Ovis aries: one gene and its partners. The protein of the gene in region 2 purifies or fractionates together with the protein of the main gene of each other region. This does not show direct contact. Links are inferred from orthologs where the notes say so. Each region holds a gene or a part of one and is shown on either strand. Other genes may lie near its edges.

Region 1 (4,154 bases), on a different chromosome or scaffold from region 2:
AAGCTTGGTCCTAACTTTCCTTTCAGCTGCACAGCATGTGGGCCTTCAGCTTCTTGACCGGATCAAACCCTCATTCCAGCATTGAAGGCATGGACTCTTAACCGCTGCACCACCAGGGAGGTTCCCATCCTAACTTTCTTGGGATTCCGGAGTACTTCCTGCTATGTTCATCAGGAGGAGTGGGCAGAAAGGAGAGACCTGGTGCCTGCCCAGGACGCGGCCCGAGGCAGAGGAGAGGGGGGGTCCAGGACGGGGCAGGCCGGGGGCCGGGGCAGGGGGATCTGGGCCCTGCTCCAGGAGGTTGGGGCATCTTAAAGAAAGTGCTGGAAGTCTGCCACCTTACCCTTCACCTCGCCCCACTGGCCAGAGCCGGACTGGGATGCTGTCTCCATTCTCAGTTCAGTTCAGTTCAGTCGCTCAGTCGTGTCCGAGTCTTTGCGACCCCATGAACCGCAGCACGCCAGGCCTCCCTGTCCATCACCAACTCCCGGAGTCCACCCAAACCCATGTCCATCGAGTCGGTGATGCCATCCAACCACCTCACCCTCTGTCGTCCCCTTCTCCTCCTGCCCTCAATCTCTCCCAGCATCAGGGTCTTTTCCAGGGAGTAGTATAATTAAAACAACTTTGGGGGGGAAAAAGAATTAATTCCCATCACTCCAAAATCTTCTCTGATCTTAACAGACGTAAGAAGTTACACTTATTTCACTTTGTTGTAATCAGCATGCAGTTCTAAATGGCCAAGAACCTAGACCCTGAGGCTTAATTCTAGGGAACAAAGTGGGGAAAGTGGAGGCAGGGCAGGGCAGTTTCTACCAGATCTCCCTGGAAACAGTCAGCTGCTGACCCAGCGGGACTGAGGCTTCCACCCCGAGCCCGGGGTCCCTAAGGACCAGGAACCGCCCCCCGGCAGGACAGGGGGCCCACCAGCTGGCGGAGGGCCTCGGCTCTCCCGGGGTGGCTGGAGCGCGCCCGTGCCCCACGGGGACGCTGGCCAACAGCCCCTTCCAGAGGCGGCTGCAGCTCTGGGAGGATTGAAACCCCGGCCAGTTGGATCTGGTTCGTCTGCCTCTATCGTTCTGACCCGCAAATCCTGCTAATACCGGGACTGCTTGCCAAGTGATGAGGGGCTGGAAAGACGAGGGGCGTCCGGCTGCTGTAAGGGCGCCAAGAGCCACGTGGGTGCAGATAGAATGGAAGGAATGTGGGCCGCGGCCAGCGGGCGCCCGGCAACCAGAGACCTGGGCGCGGCCGCGGGCTTGCTCGCCGGTCAGGTCAGGTGAGCGAGACTTCCGGCTCCTGATGCCCGGAGGAAGGGGCCTGGAGCCTGCGGCGAGCCGCCCGCCCCCCGGAAACGGAAACGACCCCAGGAGCAGCGGGACTCCGGCGGGCGGACCACGCAGCCGTCGGGCTTCCCGGCTTCGTGAGCGCCTTCACTCTGGATAAAAAGGTGCAGTTCAGACAGACGAGAGCCCGCCTTACTTTCAGCCCTCGCGGGTGGCTGTCCTGAGCTGACCCCCTCATCTGTTGAGCGGTGTGAGGTTTCCTGGGGTCATCCTGGTGACGGCTGTGGGTCTGAGAGCCGGGCGGTGTCTAAGTGAGGGCGGCTGGCGGGCTCCCAGGCCTGCCTTCTTTCTGGAAAACGCAGGCCCGCGTGGATGGCTAACGCCGCTGATGCTCACTGTGAGACGTCGGCAGGCATGCAGACGCGCCCCTGGTGGGGTCCCTTTGCTGGGCCTTTGGGGCCCAGCTCTCAGAGCCCTGGGGGCTCCTGCAACCCCAGCCTGAGAAGCTTCACCTCTAAGCACCTCTGAGCGGCTGGTGGTCTGCCTGCATCCTCTCCTTCCCACCCCGGAGCACAGTAAGGCCTCTCCTTCCCGGAGGGTGACCGCTGGCCGAGCTGGCTGCTGAGGCAATGTCCCGAGTCCATCAGAGGGTGAACGGGACACAGGACAGGAGCGGGCCGGGGACCCGGGCACTGAGGCACGTCTGTGTGGCCCTCCTCTGCCTGCACAGCACAGGGAACTGCTGGGGGGCAGGGTCACAGAAAGGCAGCCCGCCCCTCAGCGCCAGTATTCCCCAGAGGGCCTCAGTCCCCTGAGCCTGACGCCCCCACCCCCATGGCTGGCAGGACTGTGAGCCTGGAGCCTGCACCCAGGGAGCTCGGAGCCTGCCCTCTGGCTACAGAATTGCCCCTGGCCCCCTAGGTTGCTCTTTGGGCCCCGGGCTGGCCGTCAGCATCCTTCCGGCTGGAGCGAGCCCTCTGGGCCAAGGTTTTCCTGGACCACCATCTCCAGCCTCTGGGTGCAGGAAGGTGTCAGTACGCATTCACCCATCTAGTCCATAAACATTTGCGGAGACCTACTCTGTGCTTCAGACCCTGGAAGGCACTGGGGGTTGGGCATGGGGCTGTGGGTGCTGGCTGGAGGGGTAGCCAGTACTGGGAGGGTTAGGGCTACGGTGATTCTGATGGACGTCCCCAGGGAGGAGAGGCCTGGGAGGGTCTACTTCCAAAGGGCCTGATTTCCAGGGCACGGGGCACAGAAGACACAGGTGCTGGGTGCAGCTGCAGAGAGTGGTCCCCTCGAAGCCGGGGGACTCGGGAACGAGAGGGAGCAGGCCTTCTGTCCAGGCTGGGGAACTGACCCGAGGTGACCCCTGCGTGGGCACCGGCCCCGGGACGTCCCTGCTGCCCCACGTCCACTCCACTCCACGCCAGGCCTCCCTCGGACAGGCTGGGAGTCTTCCTCCTCCTCGACGTCAGAACAAAGTGAGACGCTGTGGATGCAGCTGGGGACTCTGTTGGGGAGGAAACTCTTTCCTTGCTCTTCTAGACTCTGGCCAGTCTAACAGTTAAACTGACATAAGACAGAGTAACAGGAAGAAAGCAACTTCCATCCCTGCGGGGGCCCCATAAAAGCTGAACTGACTCTAGGTACATGCACGCTCATGTCTGACTCTTTGCAACCCATGGACTGTGGCCCTCCAGGCTCCTCTGTCCTGGGGAGTCTCCAGGCAAGAATGCTGTGGTGAGCTGCCACACCCTCCTCCCGGGGACCTTCCCGACCCAGGGATCGAACCTCTGACTCTCATTCTTCTTACTCTTCACCCACAGCATTGACAGGTGGGTTCTTCACCACCAGCGCCGCCTGGGAAGGCCAGGGTGACTCTGGCCCCCTTCAGTTGCACGTTAGATCACGTTCTTGCACGAACGTCTCTTTTCTTACGAGTGATGACGTTCGACACGAGGAAGCTTTCCTTATGAGATCATACGTGCTAAGACAGCTGGAGGCAAAATGTCAGGATGTCTGTAACCCGCGTTCAGATGGCTCAGCAAAAACTGGAAAAGGAAGAAAGACTGAGCTGAGGGGCAGCAGCAGTTGGCGAATGGAGGCGAAGACACCTGTTCATTCGACTGCTTTTTCAATTTTCCCGGAGTTCTGAGAAACTAAGAACTCAGAGTAGGGGGGCAGGGTCTGTGTTGAAGGGACAGTCTGTTAGAGCTGGGGGGTCAGGGGGCTGCCCTGGCTCCATCTTGGGCGGGGGGGGGGGGGGTTCCATTTGCTGGTGGCTATGTGCTGGGGAAGCCCTGTCCTGTGACCATAGTTTCCATTTCAACCCCAGACAGCCCTTTCCAGCTTCATCTGGGCTTCAGAACAGTAGGGTGTGTGAGGGAGGCTCAGGATGGGGGGACGCGGGTCCACCTACGGCTGATTCAACAGAAACCAACCAATCCTGCAAAGCAATTATCCTTCAATTAAAACTAAATAATTTTTTTAAGTCAAATATGTTAAGAGATAAAGTAAAAAAGTAGCGGGGGGAAGTGAGGGGAATATGCCAGCTTACTGGGAACCCGGACACGGTCATCCTGCAGGGATGCTGCTGGAGAGGAGAGGCCGTCCACTAGAGAAGCTTTCAAGGGGTGAGCGAGGACCCATGTGGCTTCAGCTACAGAACCGCGCTCCTTCTCTCTGCTTGTCCTTCTCGGAGTGTAGGAAGTGCCGTGACAGGCGGTGAATCTCCGGGACCGGCAGGTTCCCGCTTCCTCCTCTTCTCAGCTGGGTGCGCTGTGCCCGGGCAGTGGGTCTGAGCTCTAAGAGAGGGCGCCAAGCTGCTCTCACTCCTTTGCAGAGCAAGTGGCGGTCCGCTGGAGG
Region 2 (4,055 bases):
CTCACGAGACGGGGGGCTAGGAGCTGGTGGCAGGAAGCCGGCAGGCTGGAGCCAGAAGGGGGCTTACTCTCGTCCAGGTTGATATAGTCCTGCCGCTCCTCCTGGTCCCCCGTGCGATGGTTTCGGGAGCGCTGGAGGATGTGAGCCCGGTCCCGGATGTGATGCCCAATGGACATCTGCTCCAGCCCGCTGTCGGAGTCGCGCACGGTCCGCCGGGTCTCCCGGATCTGGGGGAGGCGGAGCGCCACATGCTCAGTGGATCCTTCCAAACCTAACTACGCCAGGCTGGAAACACTTTGAAAGGAGCCAGCCAGGCCACCCGACCGTGCCTCCCTGGGATAGAAGGAGCCCTCCAACTCACCCCGCCTGGGGCCGAGCGCATCTCCGACGTCTCTTGGTAGACCTTGGGGGCCCCGTCGCCGGTGTTGGAGTAGGAGATGACAGTGGAGGAGGAGAAGGTCTGGCAATTGCCTCCGGCTGTCATGTGCTCCTGGGGAGGGAAGGGAACTGCACGGCTGAGTGGGCAGGGCCTGGATTCCGGAGCAGGGATCCCTCCCTGCAGCCCCGGAGCAAACGTGAGGACTCACCATCACCCCCTCAATCCCTCTGAGTCCAACAATAAGCCAGGCAGATCTGGAGAGGCCGAGCCTTAACTGCCCATTTCATGAGATGCCTGCCGCTGCTTCCTACTCAGGACCCCTGCGCTCTCCGGGTCTGGCCCTCTTATCTAGCCTGCAGGCCTCTGTGAGCACAGCCTTCCCCACTCCCACCTCCAGGGACTCGCCAGGGGAGGCGGGACACAAGACCCTCACCATGTTGCCGATCATGTCGTTCATCATCCCAAACATGTCCATGAAGCCGCCTGACTGGAGCAGAAAGGAAACCGAGTCAGGTGGTCGAATTCAGGCTCCCACAGGCCACCTGGCTACATGGTCCCTCTCTCCCCTTCCTTCACATCTGGCAGTGGCTCTTCCTCATTCCTCTTGAGCAGGAGCAGAACAAGTGTGCCTCTCTGCGCTTCTCTTCCCACCCACCCCGCCCTCCTCCTCAGGCTCTGTGGCTACTAGGATCCCATCTTCTTCTTGCCTGCCTGACCTATTTCCTCCTACTTTTAGGAAGCAAGTCTGTGTTACTGGAGTCTAACCTATAAAGTGGTTGTTTCTGAAGCTGTAGAAAAATCTCCTATACATCTCTAGTTGGCCCTCCAACAGCACCTCCCTCCTCAAAAGAAGACATCTTGCCAGGCAATTATATCTCCCTAATGGGGATGACTCCTAGAAGCACAGGAGTCAGTAAGTTAGCGTCATCAGCTCACAGGACTCAGCACACAGCAGGCCCGGAGATCTGTGAGCACATGACGACTCTAGGGTTACCCATTAGTCTATATTTCAGAGAGGCAAATTTGGAACTAATATCTAAGGGTTACAGAGCAAGTTTGAAATGGAAGGATGCAGGGAGATGAAGACTTACCATTCCCAGCATTCCAAAAGGGGAGACAGCCCCAGCCTACAGGAACATGTCAGGAATAGAAATTAGAGGCCACATGCGACCTCACCCTCCCAAACCAAGCCCATGGCCTCCCTTGCTTTTTTCCATCCTTCTCTCAAAGGAGCATCGCAAAGCCTGTCTTCCACACCCTTTTCCCCACTCCTAGAAGGCACGCCACTTGCTAAGTCAGCCAGCATGCAAGAAAAATGAAGCACTGCATTAACCACCCTCCCACCACAGTCTCAGGTCTGTGGCAGCACCATTACCTGCATCCTGCGGCTGGCAGGCCGGGTCCCTGGCAGATTGCCATCTGTGATGCTGAGGAAGGGGCTATATCCAAACCCCCCTGACAACATCCGGTTCATGTGCTGACGGTGAATGGCAAAGGGGTCCCTGTGCAGGGAGAGTACAGAGCAGGTGGCAGAAGGGGCAGCGGTGAGCACCTCCCTCCTCCCCCAAGCCCCAAAGAAAAGAGCCATAGGGAACCAGTGGCACAGACATCCCCTCCAAGTCTAAGCTGGAGCTTAGAGTGGCCACCCAGGTGTGATCCGAGCCTGCAACAGGAGCCCAGGTGTCTGTCTCAACTACTCAGAGACTAAGTGGACCGATGTGTGCTCTGGAGCAAGAGGGGGAGGGGATACTCACATCAGGAACATGGGGTCCTCGGGCTCCACGTCCCTCATGAAGCGGAACATCCTGATTTCAGCTCCAGGGAGCTCCACGCTGTGAAGATGTGGAGGCTCAAAGGTTGGAAGGGGCCAGGCTTTTTGCACACCCCTCAGGGCAGGGACTCTCAGAGCGTGGTCCCTTCCAAACACTGTAACTGGCCCCCAAACTCCAGGGAGACCCTTCTCCAGGTGTTCAACATCAGCCTCTAGGGAGAGCAGAGCTCTTCAACCCTCTCTCCGAAGGAGGACCGTGGAAAATTTTCCCGAGCCTGTTTTCTGCCTCCCCCACTCAGAGCCATCCTCTTCCCAAAGCCACCGCCAAAGGCACACTCCCCCAACCCCCGACGCCACCTTTCCGGATGCGAATCTCAAGTGCCACCCCCCACCCCCGCCCCATAAATGACCCCAACCACTCCGCTCCCTCCTCACATCCCGGCCGCCGCCAGACCTCCCCCGGGTGGGCCTCACCGTCCCCGCCGCGCCTGGAGCCTTGCCCCCTCACCCCGAACCCTGCTTTCCTGCCGGGTGAGCAGGAGAGGCAGGCTTGACCCGCTCCCCTCCCCGCATCCCAGGCTCCCGGGGACCCTGCAGCCCGGCGGGCCGCTCCCGCCCGGAACCGGCTGCCCGCTCCGCTCGAGCCTCACCGGTCCCCGGTCCGGGCTCAGCGGCCCATCCGGCCGGTCTCGCCTCTCGTGCGCGGCAGGATCGGGGCTAGCGGCCCGGGACGCGGGACTGGTCCGGGCGTGAGCTCCTCGGCCTCCCGCACCGCCTCCTCTCACAGCTGCCACCTCCGTGCACCCTCCGCCCGTCGGCCCACGGAGCCCGAACCCCAGCCAGGCCCGGACGGAAGTGACGTCACGATGGGACAGCCCACCCCAGGCCGGGCCTGCGGAGCTCCGCCCACCGGCGGGCGTGGGGCGCACGCGGGGCGGCTCTCAGGCCTAGCTGCTGGGGACCTCGGGGTCCTCTGGGACTTGGGGAGTGGAGGCCTCGTTAGTAACCTGGACTTGGGTTCTGTGGCCCCGAGGAGGCTCCCTGTCAGGGTGCTGGGGAAGGAGCAGCGGAGTCCATCGCCGGGAGGGGAAGAGGGGGGAAGAGGACGGGGGCAGATTCCCCCGGACAGGGCAGGCTCTCAGTGGGTGACGAGGTGGGGCGGATCCCTGGGGAGAACTTTCAGCAGATTTCTACCGGGGAAGCGTTCATCCCGAGATGGAGGAAGGACGGCAATTCTGCGGGGGAGGCGCTGGGGCCAGTCCCCTCGGGAGGAGGCGCGTTCCAGGCCGGGGCGGCGTCCCCTCGGAGTGACGTAGCGGGAGGAGGTGACAGTGCTGCCCAGGTCTTCCTCTGGCTTTGAGAACTCGGGCTGGGGCACGGAGGATCCAGGCTGGGGGTCTGGTCGCCAGATGGCGCCCTTCGGCCGGGCTGGAACTGCAGCCCCTGGGGAACTGGAGTTGGCGGGGCTCTAGAGACCCGCCCACCCGCCCCCCCCCCGCGACCACCCCGCGACCACCCCGCCGCCCCCAGTTACCCTGCTGTGAGGAGTCAGACTAGGGAGAGAGTTCTGAAATCTTTTCATTGAATGCCAACCTCCCCTTTCCTTTCTCTGAGTATCCTCAGGAGCTCCCAGTCCGCACTGTTTTTCTTCTCTAGTCAGGCAGGTTGGTAGGTGGGTCGAGGGAGAAGAGCGCTCCCCGTTCACCAAGCTCACCGAGGGGCAGAGTTGCAAACAGGCCCAGGAGACCTGACTCGAAGGCCAAAGGCTGACACTTTGACATACTGAATGTGTTGCATAAAATCCTGCCCAACTGGAGAGAAGGGCCCTCCCCCTGGGTGTCCAGGGATTTGGGCTGTCTGGGCTGGACTTTAGACCGGACTCAACCAGACGCCAGCTCGCCTGGT
Region 3 (3,507 bases), on a different chromosome or scaffold from region 2:
ATAAAAGTATTTCATATGTAGTATTAGGAAAAATGCTCAAATGCTGCAAAGTTTTCAGTGAAACAGCTACTTTTTAATTATTGAAGACATATAAATTGATATAACTCTCATACAAAAAAAACTTTGGAAACATATCAAGCCATGAAAATGCATACACCCTTTGACTCAGTAAAACCAGTTGCTAAGAATTTATATGAAGAAAATAGGAAACAAAAGAAGGGAAAAGCTTGGTGTACATCAATCTGTTGCATTGATAAGCAACAAACTGGAAACCACGTAAACGTTCAGTGAGTGGAATGGGAGGCAAATTGTCTAACTACACAGGATAGAGGTTTTCGAGAATTAAAAGCAAACTTTAAAACAGCATTTTTCTTTTTAAAGGCAAATGACAACATCATATTTCTCTAATGATTAAAACTTTAAAGAAATGATGCACTTTGAAACGGATGGAGGGGATGAAGTAGTTGTTCAGAGTGGCAACATCAGGGGCGGGGTCTGTGTAAGTCTTTAAGTTCAAAATAATTTGATATAGATGACTAAAAACCTGCCGAATGAAGGCGATGTGGTGTACCGAAGGTTCCTTCCCATCCCTCCAAGCTCACTGCCGCGTTCTCAGCAGAGGCGCGGTCAGTCACTGAGTAGCTGCGTTATGAACAGGCTGTCTGGTCAGCCCAAAGCCCTGTGTGCCCATGTGTCTGTAGACAAAGTCCAGGAGAGGACCATAATGCTTCTGCCCCTAGCCAAGCACTTGTTTCCCCACATGCTGTTATCCACAGAATAGTAAAATATAGATATACAGGAGGTGCTAGATCCTAGTACAAGACAAGAATTCAATCTAAAAACTTCTAGAAAGGTAATCAAAATATTTCTAATTTTAATTGTTATTCACAAAACTAGCAACACTGAGATATTTTGTTCTTCAGAAATAACTATCAGTATCAAATGAGCTATATGTGACATACACAACCATTATCATTTAAGATAGTTCTTTATCGTTTTTACATGATTGTTTATAGGACTGTTAGGTCTGAACACTAGTTGAATCTGGCTTCAGCGTTCTGCTGCAGCGTTTTGGAAGCAGCCCCTTTAGAATGCTCCAGCAGCTTGATAGCCTTGTCAGAGTTTTCAATGTTCCTAAGCAGAGTCTCTAGTCGTCTCTTAATTTTCTTCTGATCCTCGAGAGCACAGCCGATCACAATGGACTGGAACTTTTGGTCCACCGGCCCCGCAGGCACCTCGGAGGAACACGCGCTGTACAGTGACATCAGGTGACTCCGGGCGTTTCCCAGGTCGTCCAGAAACTTGCTGACCACCTCATCGATGATCCGCGTGGCGTGCTTGAGGGACTCCTGCTGCTGGGGACTCCTAATTGTTTCTACTGAAACCTCCACAGTCAGGGTTCGTCCCATCAGACGGTTCGCAGTCAGATTTAATTCTTCTCGTTCTCCTAATCATAAAAAGTTTGAAATATCAATCAATATGAGACACACCTACATCCATGTCAAGAACACTAAGGCATTTGTGTGTGGTTAAATCTAGCCTGCGAGCACCTATACATTTCTTAAAGGTATATACTGTTAGCAATAAGATTAACTTAGGATGCCAGGGAAGACTGAGGGCAAGAGGAGAGAGAGGAGGGCGGCAGAGGATGAGACGGCTGGATGATATCACTGACTCGGTAGACAGGAGTCTGAGCACACTCAGGGAGATGGTGAAGGGCAGGGAGGCCTGGCGTGCTGCAGTCCATCGGGTCACAAGGAGTCAGACAGGACTGAGCGACGGAACAGCGTCAGTGGTGAAGAGGATCAGCCTGGACGTCGGGTGACTGCCGCGGTCGTCATGTCTGCAGAGGCTGGGGCGGGTGTGCTGGTCAGAGCAGGAAATGATGCCCTGCGTCTACACGACTACGTGCACTAGAGGAGGAAATGGTAACTTCTGCCTGTCTGAGCTTTTAGCTGAGACCCTGTAATAAGACAGACTAACAAGCAAAAACAAAACCAGAGCCTCATTATCGTGTAGACCCCATGTATACATGGGAGACCCCCAGGGAAACTGAGTGACTCCTGGAGATGGCCCAGGCCTCCATCCTCAGGTGGAGATGGGGAGGGAGGCCAGTTTCGAGGGCCTCAGAAAGAGGACCACAGAGGTGAGGTTTTCACGGAGACCCCTCAGAAGCGGAGGTTTCCTTTAGGAAGTGTAAATGTACATTTCCCTTACAAAACTGTGACCTCAGCTATTTCCATAGCTGCTCCTGTGCCTGCGGTTTCTCAAAAATGACCAGCCCCGATAATCCTTAGGGCAGAGGCATGTTTTGGGCAGCACATCCCGTGTCTGTGAGCACACCGTGCCCAGCTCTGGTGGAGGAAACAGAGCCAAGACCCTAGGAGAAAGGCTGGCCTGAAACGAGGCGCTGACCTCATCCTGTCCGACCAACTCGGCCTGTGGTCTGAGTCTCAGCCAGCACGAGGAGGGTGCTGGGTCATCCTCTCACTGTGCAGCTCTGCGAAACGCTTTCCAAGTTCACTGCTGGTTGGCCGGGGCGGGGAGCGGGCTACGCTGACCCACTAAGGCTGTGTGACGGTTTGGGTCCGGGCCTGGGCTCACCAGCCAGGGCTGCAGGGGTGCCTGACCCCCGTCACGCCTCACCGCGCCCCCCCCCCGCCCCTGTCCTCTGCGCCCCCCCCCCGCTCCTGTCCTCTGCGCCCCCCCTCCTGTCCTCTGCGCCCCCCCGCCCCCCTCCTGTCCTCTGCGCCCCCCCTCCTGTCCTCTGCGCCCCCCCGCTCCTGTCCTCTGCGCCCCCCCGCTCCTGTCCTCTGTGCCCCCCCCGCCCCCCTCCTGTCCTCTGCGCCCCCCCGCCCCCCTCCTGTCCTCTGCGCCCCCCCCCCGCTCCTGTCCTCTGCGCCCCCCCTCCTGTCCTCTGCGCCCCCCCCCGCCCCCCTCCTGTCCTCTGCGCCCCCCCGCCCCCCCGCCCCCCTCCTGTCCTCTGCGCCCCCCCGCTCCTGTCCTCTGCGCGCGCCCCCCCCCCCCCCCCGCGCCCCCGGCGGGCTCACCGTCACTGATCTGCCGCATGTCCTGGCTGTTCTGGATGCTGTGGATCATCTCCAGGAGCACCTCCTTCTCCTGCTCCACAGCCGTGGCCGCCTCCCGCAGAGCCTCCACCCTGCGGGCGGGGACACGGTCAGCGCACAGAAGCCTAGTGCGCCGCTTCTGCCTTTCCCTCCAGCTTAGCTGGCAGGATGATCAGGGGCACGCCCCGAACGCTTCAGTCCTTTTTCTTTCTTATTCTGTACTTTTTTCCTTCTTCATCCACTTGCCCCGTGGCTCCTAGTTGCCTCCCTGCTCACAGGGCAAGGATTCTGTTTAGTGCTTTTCTATTTGTAGATAAACACCTGTACTTGTTTACTGTCCCTGCTTCACTCAGCAGCATATTTCACTGAGACCCGCCGGGTTCCCTTGTCACCCAGCCCCCAGCTCCCCTCACCACCCGCCCGTGACTCCTGTCCCCTG

The links.
Region 1: the proteins of MLF2 (region 2) and DNAJB6 purify together in Homo sapiens (affinity purification with mass spectrometry; 3 studies listed by BioGRID and IntAct, with this or other methods). This does not show direct contact. The link is inferred for Ovis aries from reciprocal best matches to the Homo sapiens genes MLF2 and DNAJB6.
Region 3: the proteins of MLF2 (region 2) and BAG2 purify together in Homo sapiens (affinity purification with mass spectrometry; 4 studies listed by BioGRID and IntAct, with this or other methods). This does not show direct contact. The link is inferred for Ovis aries from reciprocal best matches to the Homo sapiens genes MLF2 and BAG2.

The regions. Positions count from the first base shown.
Region 1 is NC_056057.1:120,185,093-120,189,246, forward strand, and holds the start of DNAJB6 (dnaJ homolog subfamily B member 6), read left to right. Parts: upstream 1-1,350; 5' UTR 1,351-1,450; exon of another isoform or gene 1,451-4,154. UniProt on the Homo sapiens protein: Has a stimulatory effect on the ATPase activity of HSP70 in a dose-dependent and time-dependent manner and hence acts as a co-chaperone of HSP70. Plays an indispensable role in the organization of KRT8/KRT18 filaments.
Region 2 is NC_056056.1:209,529,836-209,533,890, reverse strand, and holds the start of MLF2 (myeloid leukemia factor 2), read right to left. Parts: upstream 2,729-4,055; intron 2,682-2,728; coding exon of another isoform or gene 2,556-2,681; intron 2,212-2,555; 5' UTR 2,184-2,211; coding exon 2,134-2,183; intron 1,882-2,133; coding exon 1,755-1,881; intron 1,507-1,754; coding exon 1,471-1,506; intron 867-1,470; coding exon 813-866; intron 491-812; coding exon 362-490; intron 228-361; coding exon 68-227; intron 1-67. Other genes in the region: PTMS (parathymosin), read left to right, coding at 2,556-2,681, 2,729-3,199.
Region 3 is NC_056073.1:3,189,811-3,193,317, forward strand, and holds the end of BAG2 (BAG family molecular chaperone regulator 2), read right to left. Parts: intron 3,161-3,507; coding exon 3,051-3,160; intron 1,448-3,050; coding exon 1,035-1,447; 3' UTR 52-1,034; downstream 1-51. UniProt on the Homo sapiens protein: Co-chaperone for HSP70 and HSC70 chaperone proteins. Acts as a nucleotide-exchange factor (NEF) promoting the release of ADP from the HSP70 and HSC70 proteins thereby triggering client/substrate protein release.